Oryzias latipes: one gene and its partner. The protein of the gene in region 1 purifies or fractionates together with the protein of each later gene. This does not show direct contact. Links are inferred from orthologs where the notes say so. Each region holds a gene or a part of one and is shown in the gene's direction. Other genes may lie near its edges. The genes, in order: sost and lrp5.

What was found.
Region 2: the proteins of sost (region 1) and lrp5 purify together in Homo sapiens (affinity purification with mass spectrometry; 3 studies listed by BioGRID and IntAct, counting the BioPlex papers as one, with this or other methods). This does not show direct contact. The link is inferred for Oryzias latipes from reciprocal best matches to the Homo sapiens genes SOST and LRP5.

The regions. Positions count from the first base shown.
Region 1 is NC_019877.2:17,915,412-17,919,327, forward strand, and holds the start of sost (sclerostin), read left to right. Parts: upstream 1-1,464; 5' UTR 1,465-1,794; coding exon 1,795-2,044; intron 2,045-3,916. UniProt on the Homo sapiens protein: Negative regulator of bone growth that acts through inhibition of Wnt signaling and bone formation.
Region 2 is NC_019864.2:5,022,547-5,026,462, reverse strand, and holds the start of lrp5 (low-density lipoprotein receptor-related protein 5), read left to right. Parts: upstream 1-1,580; 5' UTR 1,581-1,771; coding exon 1,772-1,832; intron 1,833-3,916. UniProt on the Homo sapiens protein: Acts as a coreceptor with members of the frizzled family of seven-transmembrane spanning receptors to transduce signal by Wnt proteins.

The DNA.
Region 1 (3,916 bases):
TTACTCTTACTTAATTATAGACCTATTAACTCTTAAACACTCTGTAAATGACACACTGAAACCATTAAATATTGTGTTTTTCAAAAGAGGTATCATTTATTGCTTGAAAGAGAGTGAAAGGAAGTAAATTATACAACCCCACTCTGATTATGTTTAACCTAACTTTTTCTTTTTTCTTTTTTACACAAGTTATCTTTATCCAGTTCTGAATTTCTGATATACCAAATTGCAGATCATTAAAAAAACCTTGAGCAATAATAAAATCAAATTACAAAATGATGTACATAATATTGATGTAAGAAGACATTACAGTATTTTAGAAATCACTAGGAGAAATAAGATCAATGTTGGAGAGCAAAGTATTTTTGAATATATACAGTTTTATGGGTCTTTAAAAAAACATTTTTTATTTTAGATTCTTATCGCTGAATGTGGCCTTAACAGTATCCAGGCTTCAGCGACCCTAAAAGGGGTTCAGCGGGTTAAAAAGATGGATGGGTCAGTGGATGTTTGTTCTTCTGGACAAAACGAAATAAGAACAACATCAACATGGGATTCTAACCATAAAAAAGGTTGGTGTTAACCAGATTTCCAGTGTATTACAGAGATTTTTCCGCTCACTTTTTGTTTTTGAACAGAGTATGATTCACTAACATATTAGCATTGTTTGTTTGATAAAATCAGGGAGGATTTTCCATAAACTCTGGCTTTCAAACTGAAGCCTAATTACTTTTCCTGTACTTCATGAACAGGAATTGGACCTGACACTTATGGAGTGGTTCCGAAGAGGGGGATTTCCTGTTGATTGATCCTAATCATTCATTACTAACATTACAAGCTGATTTTTGGCTCATCCTTTTGAGACAGAATTTAATCCATGACATGAATAAACTCAAACTTCCCTTTTTAAAAGTCAGAACTTTAGAACCTTATGATTGATCAAGTTTTGTCCTGGACTGCCTTGCAAAACAGCAGAGTGATGCTAACGAGCCTGAATGTCCTTCCCAAGGCTCTCCCTCAAGAGGGCAGTGTTTGAATGAGATAGCCTCCATCTGTCAGCAGGCATCACATCACAGGGGCGTGAGGGCTGCCAAGCAGCTTTAATTCACAAATTCCAAACAGATATGGAGATATAGAATATCAGATTCTCGTGAAAAGCCTCTGCTAAACTCAGATTTGGTAAACAGACACTTGGTGATGTATTTTCTATTCATGCAGACAGTCCTGATGATGCTGAGAGTCGCTGATGAAGGGTCATTCACACGTCATGAATAATTCATTTGAGTGTGGTCCTTTCCTCAAACATACAGGATCTGATTCCTACACCCCCTTTTCCCTCCCTAGGAAAGATGCCTTCAGAAAGTCGTCATAGTATAGTTGCTGCACCCCCCCCCCCCAACACTTATGTGCGCACTAATTGCGTCACTTGGATTAAGTCAGCTCTCCTCTCTGTCACTCCACCACAACTCTCGTTTCCACTCCTCTCACCTCCTCTTTTCATCTTCTCTGACCTTCATGGTCTCATTCCTTCACTCTTTTTCATGTCTACCTTCCTCTCTCCCCCCATTCACAATGAATCCCTCATCCAGGTTCGACTCCTCCCACTCCGTGTCAGCGCGTAATTGTGCGCTCTGACCGCAAAGTTGGCTTTAAATAGCGCGTCTCGCTTTGGAGAAGGACTCCTCCGTTCCTGCGCGTTCCTGTATTTTTGCTTTTATTTATTTACATTTTTCCCGTCTGCATTTTCTGTAAAAATTTACTCCTGTGTTGAGGTCCATCTGTGCCCCGACAAGCATGCAGGTGTTCGCGGCGCTGCTGCTCTGCAGCTCGGCGCTGCTGCTGCTGCAGGGATGCTGCGCAGCCGCCAAGGGATGGCGGGGAATCAGGAATGATGCTACCGAGCTTTTACCGGACTATGGGCAAAACACGGGCGCGCCGCACGAGGCCATTCTGCACGCAGCCAACAAGAACAACAACAACAGTAACAACACTTTGAATAACAGGGCGAAAAACGGTGGAAGGACTGCAAACACAGTTTCATATAGTAAGTGTCCTTTTAATATTTAAATATTACATCAATTACCTATTTGGGCAAACTTTGTAGAAAAATGTGGTGAAGATAAGCACATGGGTGATTACTAATCCAATCCGCAATTCTAAACAAATATTTTTCCTCTTAAAAGACAGATTTTTAACAAAACACTTTAAAAAACTACTTAAAGAAATTCAACTTTTTTAGTCTATCAAATCTCTAAATAACTGAATAAATATTTTTAAATTGATTGCCAGGATTAGACTCAAGGCTGTCCAGCAGACTGGCTTTTTGTCATTTCCAAATTCAACCTGCTTCCCTTTCAGTATAGGAGCTGATGTGTGTGAGAGTGTGTATTGTTAAATACACTGATGGGGGGGGGGGGGGGGGGGATGATCAGATGCACATTCTTGTGGTTCCTTCCCCAATTCTGTACCCCCCCCCCCCCCCCCCTTCCCAGGTTGTTTCCTTCTGTCTTTATACTATTAGTCAAGCCCTACTTACGCCATAACCATTTGATTGCAACAACATGTTTCCCAAAGCCCTGCAGTTTGCTGTCTTTTTTTTCGGGGGGGGGGGGGGGGGGGGGGTTGTCTTTAGGAGGGTTTTTTAAATAGCTTTTAAAGTACAATCATTTGAGAAGGATTCCCACCTTTGGACAGTATTCCCAGCATGTTATGATTGAGAAGGCCGGATAATGTGATTTAAGATGGGGGGGTGGGGTCATTTTTCCCCCCCTAACAAATAGTATGATTGATTATATTAACAGGAAAACTGATTTCACTAAAGTGAGAGCAATTCTTGAATTTCAAGATGAAAAGATGAGTTGATTTCAACAGGTTGTTGTTTAGGAATATGCAGCACATGTTGGGCTTGGTGGAGAAAAAGCTCTCAGATTATTTCCATCGTGTGGCTTTTGGTCGGGACAGCTCCTCCCTGATCTTTGTGGGGTCACAGCACAGGCTTTGAGACCACAGCCTGGCTTCACTCCAATCCTCTCCCTAGGCTCATCTTTCACTGCCGAGGGGGGTGGGAGAACAAAAATCCACTCACGCAACCGTACATCAGGCCGCCTTTGTTTGAGAGGAGAATAGCAACCGTGCGGTTGGAGAAAGGCGGTGATGTGACAAAACCACCTGACAGGTATTTGTTGCAAAGTGCTGCCAAGGGATCTTTTTTGAAACTGCTCTGGTCCTTGCAGCAGTCGATGGAGAAAAACACCAGATCATATTCTACTGGTTAGAAAAAACCCAACAAAAAACAGGAAAGTCACCTCACATCCATCCTTTGTTCGGGTCTTTATTTTTGGCAAGGAAGGCCACAAAGGAAAACAGATCCCTTTCTGAGTGTGTCATTTCTTAACCAACAATTCCTCCTTTTTATTTTGTGCACACAGCCTGTAAAGAAACACTAGGCAGTGATTCCTGCCTGTTGAAAATGCAGGATTACAAGCTGAGTGTCTCCAATCTGCCGGGCTGATGTCCAAGTTGTGCTGCTCTAAAACAACCAGACTGTCATTTAGTCCTCCGTCACCGCAAACACTTCCTGAGGTCCGGTGCAGGATGCCAGCTTTTTCATCCAAGCCAAACCTCAGTTTGCTTTGATTGGTGTGTTTAATGGCCTTCTGGTCTGGATTTGTTATTTGCTTATTGCTGCCAGTTGCCCTTCTTTATCAAGTAAAAATGATTTGAGTCAAATAGACCTGATTTTGTTTGTTTATTTGTCGATATTTCAGGTCTGGATTTCAGTTGAATGTGTTGGATTTTTTTTTTTTTTTCAGTTGATAGAAATAGAACCGGACAAATGACTGGAAGGAGACCCAGCTGCTGTAAAGAAGCAGTTGACCCACAGATTGATGGTCCCCCTCTGTGTTTCTTTTGGGTT
Region 2 (3,916 bases), on another chromosome or scaffold:
ATCATCTGTTTATGTATACGTCACACACAACCACGTGATGAAGACTCTGACGTCCATTGAAACATGTCAGGCATGTTAAAACACAACCGTGTCTGATAACAGAAGAACCAAGAAGTAGGTTGGTCGTCTGTGTTGCTGGAGAAGACGAGGTGAGCGATACGCCGAGGTCATCATGGTCCCCATGGTTGGCTTTGGAGGAGGACGAGCAACAGTCTGGACAGACATCACCAGTATTTGGGCCTATCTTTATAATTGCCTTAGTTTTGTGGTAATAAATATGAAATCAATTAAAATGATAGTTTTTCTCATTCATTATTAGTAGTATCAAATGGAAATTTGAAGTATTTCATTAAAATTCAGACCAAATAGAAAAAGCACTCGTGTTAAAAACAAAAGTCCCAACTTGTTATCAGTGTATTTCACATGTGAGAGATAAAACATGCCTCAATGACTCAGAGGAAGGCGCTCCAGAGTTTCACTGAAACAGCCATGTTATGTTTTTTCCTTCACTTCCTGTCCTGTCTCTTTTTTTTACCTCAGTTCTTCCTGTTTTACCCTTCTGAACAGATTTAGTTCTACTTCCACTATTACAGGCTCTGCTTTTCCCTGTGTGTTTCTTCTCCAATTCAAATAGCTGTCTTCCTGCTGCACTCCCAGATTGTCTGACTGCATTACATCAACTCTTCAGCTCTGAATATTTCTACCTGATGTCATGATGCTGAATCTGATTTGACTCTTGGTTTCTCCCTGTCTGCTTCTGGACCTGGAGACTAAATTTCTGTCCACAGGAGCTGCCTCTGCTGCTGCCTCTGGATACTGCTTTCTGGACCTTGGGACTTGCCTATTTTGATAACTGGACATGATTTTTCTTTAACTGTGCGTGCACCAGACACCCCTCCTTGCTACACTATCCCCACCTTCCCTCTTTGGATCCTGCAGATTTCTCCCCCCAATCTCCTCCTTAGTGTAAACTCATCTTTTAGTGTGCACAACCTGTCTGCCACCAACCTGATTCTCCTGTCTTCCACATTGTAGACCATTCATGCCACTTGGAGCCTGTCAACACTTCCTGCACCAGTTATTTCTCTATTCTAGAGTAGATTCCGACTTAATTTCATTCAGAGTGCTGTGTTTTTTTTTTGTTTTTTTACAAAACTGCAGTACTCTCCATCCTTGTGTATGGTTCATGAAATGGCCTCTAAAAAGAATTTGGCAGCATTGTATTCATGATTCTTTTGATTTTATGTTTTAATTTTTTAATTACCGATACGAAGCCCATGATCGAGACGACTGTTGTTCTGAATTTGGGCCATATAAATAAATTGAATTGAATTGCAAAATGAGTCAATGCTTTTATTTTGAAGGGATGACGTCTTAATTTTGATTTTCTTTAAATCCTTTTTAAATCTATGGTTTTCTGGTCAGTGTACTCTGAAACCGAACGATGTTTCTGAGACTGAAGACGTTCAGAGGTTACAGAGCAGCTCCGCGAGGACAAACCGAACCAGATCTTCATGAAGTTCCCCTCGAACTTTGTCCCCACCTCTCCCTGAGACGTCGAGGCTCCGCCCACACCCAACTGCCCTTTCTCTCCGTGCGCGAGCCCGACAGTCCAAAGTGGAAAGTAGCGCGAGCGTAAAACGAAGACGAAGAAAAGTCCCTTTACAGCCCCGGTCACGCGCGCGCACATGTACGCGCTCAGCGGCGGGTCAGAGAAGACTCCCGGGATCGAACATCCGAACATGGAGCGGGAGTCCCGGCTGTGACGGGGATGGGAGGTCTGCTGGCGCCGCGGCTGCTGCTCTGGAGCTGCCTGCTGTCCGCGGGCTCGGGTACGTCGTCGGTCGACGCGTGAACGCGCGGCTCTCCGGTGAAAGTTTCGTGTCTCGGCTGTCGGAGCGCGGCTCCAAACTTTTGGGGGGTGTTCGCCACGGGGCGGGTCGTGCGTGAGATTCGGGCCAGACGATGATCACAAAGACCTGCGGGATTTGAAGGCAGCTGGCTGTTTCTGGGCCTTCATCCCGTCCTGCGCGGTGTCGGGTGTCACGCACGCAGGCTCTGCGCCGTAGAGCTGAACAGAGGGCAGTGTTTGGGTTCTGCCCCCCCCCCCCCCCCCCCCCAGGATGTGGGTCCACAGACCCCCCCCCCCCCCCCCCCCCGTGTCCCGGTGGTGATGGTTCTGACTGCTTCCAGAGCTCCCCTCATTGTCCCCCCCCCCCCCCCCCCCCGCTGCTCTGAAGGCGCCCTCTGACCCCGTGCGTTAGCGTGTGTTAGCGTGTCAGCGCGTGGTTCCACAGGTCCGTGGTGTCTACAGTCTCATCCTCGGGGCTGAGGCTTCTGGTTGTCCTCCTGAAACAGCAGAACTCCTCCTGAGGAACCCTCAGCTCCTGGTTCCTCTTCACTGTTGTGTTCCTGTTGTGCGTTTGCTCAGCCTGTCAGTTGTGTCTTCAGCCTGTCAGCTGCTTCATGGATGATCCACAGACTCAAACAAAGGGGGGCAGCCGAGGAGGACCGCTGTGCCTCAGAAGCCTCTGGCTTAGACGGGTCGGCGGTCTTTGTTCTGGGTGGCGGTGCTCAGAGCGGCAGTGTGATGGAGCAGCAGGTGGATGTTTCTGTGGAAACCTCCGTGTTTCCTCCACGGGCGGACGCCGCCTCGTCCTGTGCCGGGCGGGGATGGGCAGAACCCTGGAAGAGGGCGGCTGGCTTCGTCATTTCTGCTGCTCTGCAGGCTCGGCTTTGTTCATGAGGTGGTGGAGCGGCGGTGAAGCCGGGCTGCAGCTGGATGCTGCCTCTCCACCTCCATAGATGAAGACGGGCGTTTTCTGATCCTCTTCTCGCTGTTTCTGACATTTTTACTAAAATCTGCAGAACCGACGTTACTCAGCGAAGCCGCAGGAAAGCTTCAGGAAAAAGTCCCAAACCATTAGTTTCTGCATAATGTGGTCATCACACATTATGCAGTTATTACCTAAAGGTAATAACTCAAACAATTGAGTACAAGTATGATTATACTTCTGCCTTATTTGTAAAGCATTTATTGTCTTTTTGCAGTGAAAGTACGTCGTATTAGTCATTGAAATGTTTTTTCCCACAGTTCCTCAGGGGACACAGAGGTGTGTGCTGCATCCCTGCTGCATCCCAGAATGCTCACGTTCAAAAGGTCAAACAATAGAGCTGAGTTCAAGATGCATCTATTATGGATAGTTTTAGTGCATTACACCAGGCTTTTCTTCATTGTTTTTCATTAGCAAATGAGTCATTTTCTGAATTTCTGTTTTTGTCTGTGTTCCCTGGTATATGGGGGGGGGGGGGTCCGTGGCAGAGGTCTCCCTCTTGTTTGTACATGAAGGCTCCCTGTTGGTCTGTGTGGAAGCATTCAGTGGGTCAGATGTGCTCACGCTGCACAGCAGAGTTCAGTCCAGTGTTCATGGAGTAACACGCCACTCCAGACGTCGTGGTGCATGACGCCCGTCTGACCACACAAGTCTGTTCTGTGTTTCCCTTCATGTTGTTTAGGGCTGACTCTGCTGCAGGTAGCAGCTCCCTCAGACCCCACAGTGGCGCATCACGCTGCAGCAGGGCTTACCGCCACCATGTCAGCTCAAGTTTGAATGTTCACATCCTATCTGAAGGCCATCATGATTCTATTTTATCTACGTTGTGCGTCTGCAGGACTCCTGCTTCTTCCTTAAGTTAGCTAAACTAGATAGAATGGAGGAGGAGCTTCTGTCATCTGGCTCCTCCCTGATGGAACCAACTCTGCTATGGTTCAGGAGGCAGACACCATCTGTCAGTTTCCCATCCATCCATCCATCCATCCATCCATCCATCCATCCATCCATCCATCCATCCATCCATCCATCCATCCATCCATCCATCCATCCATCATTGACAATTCTAGTGAGCATGCACATAG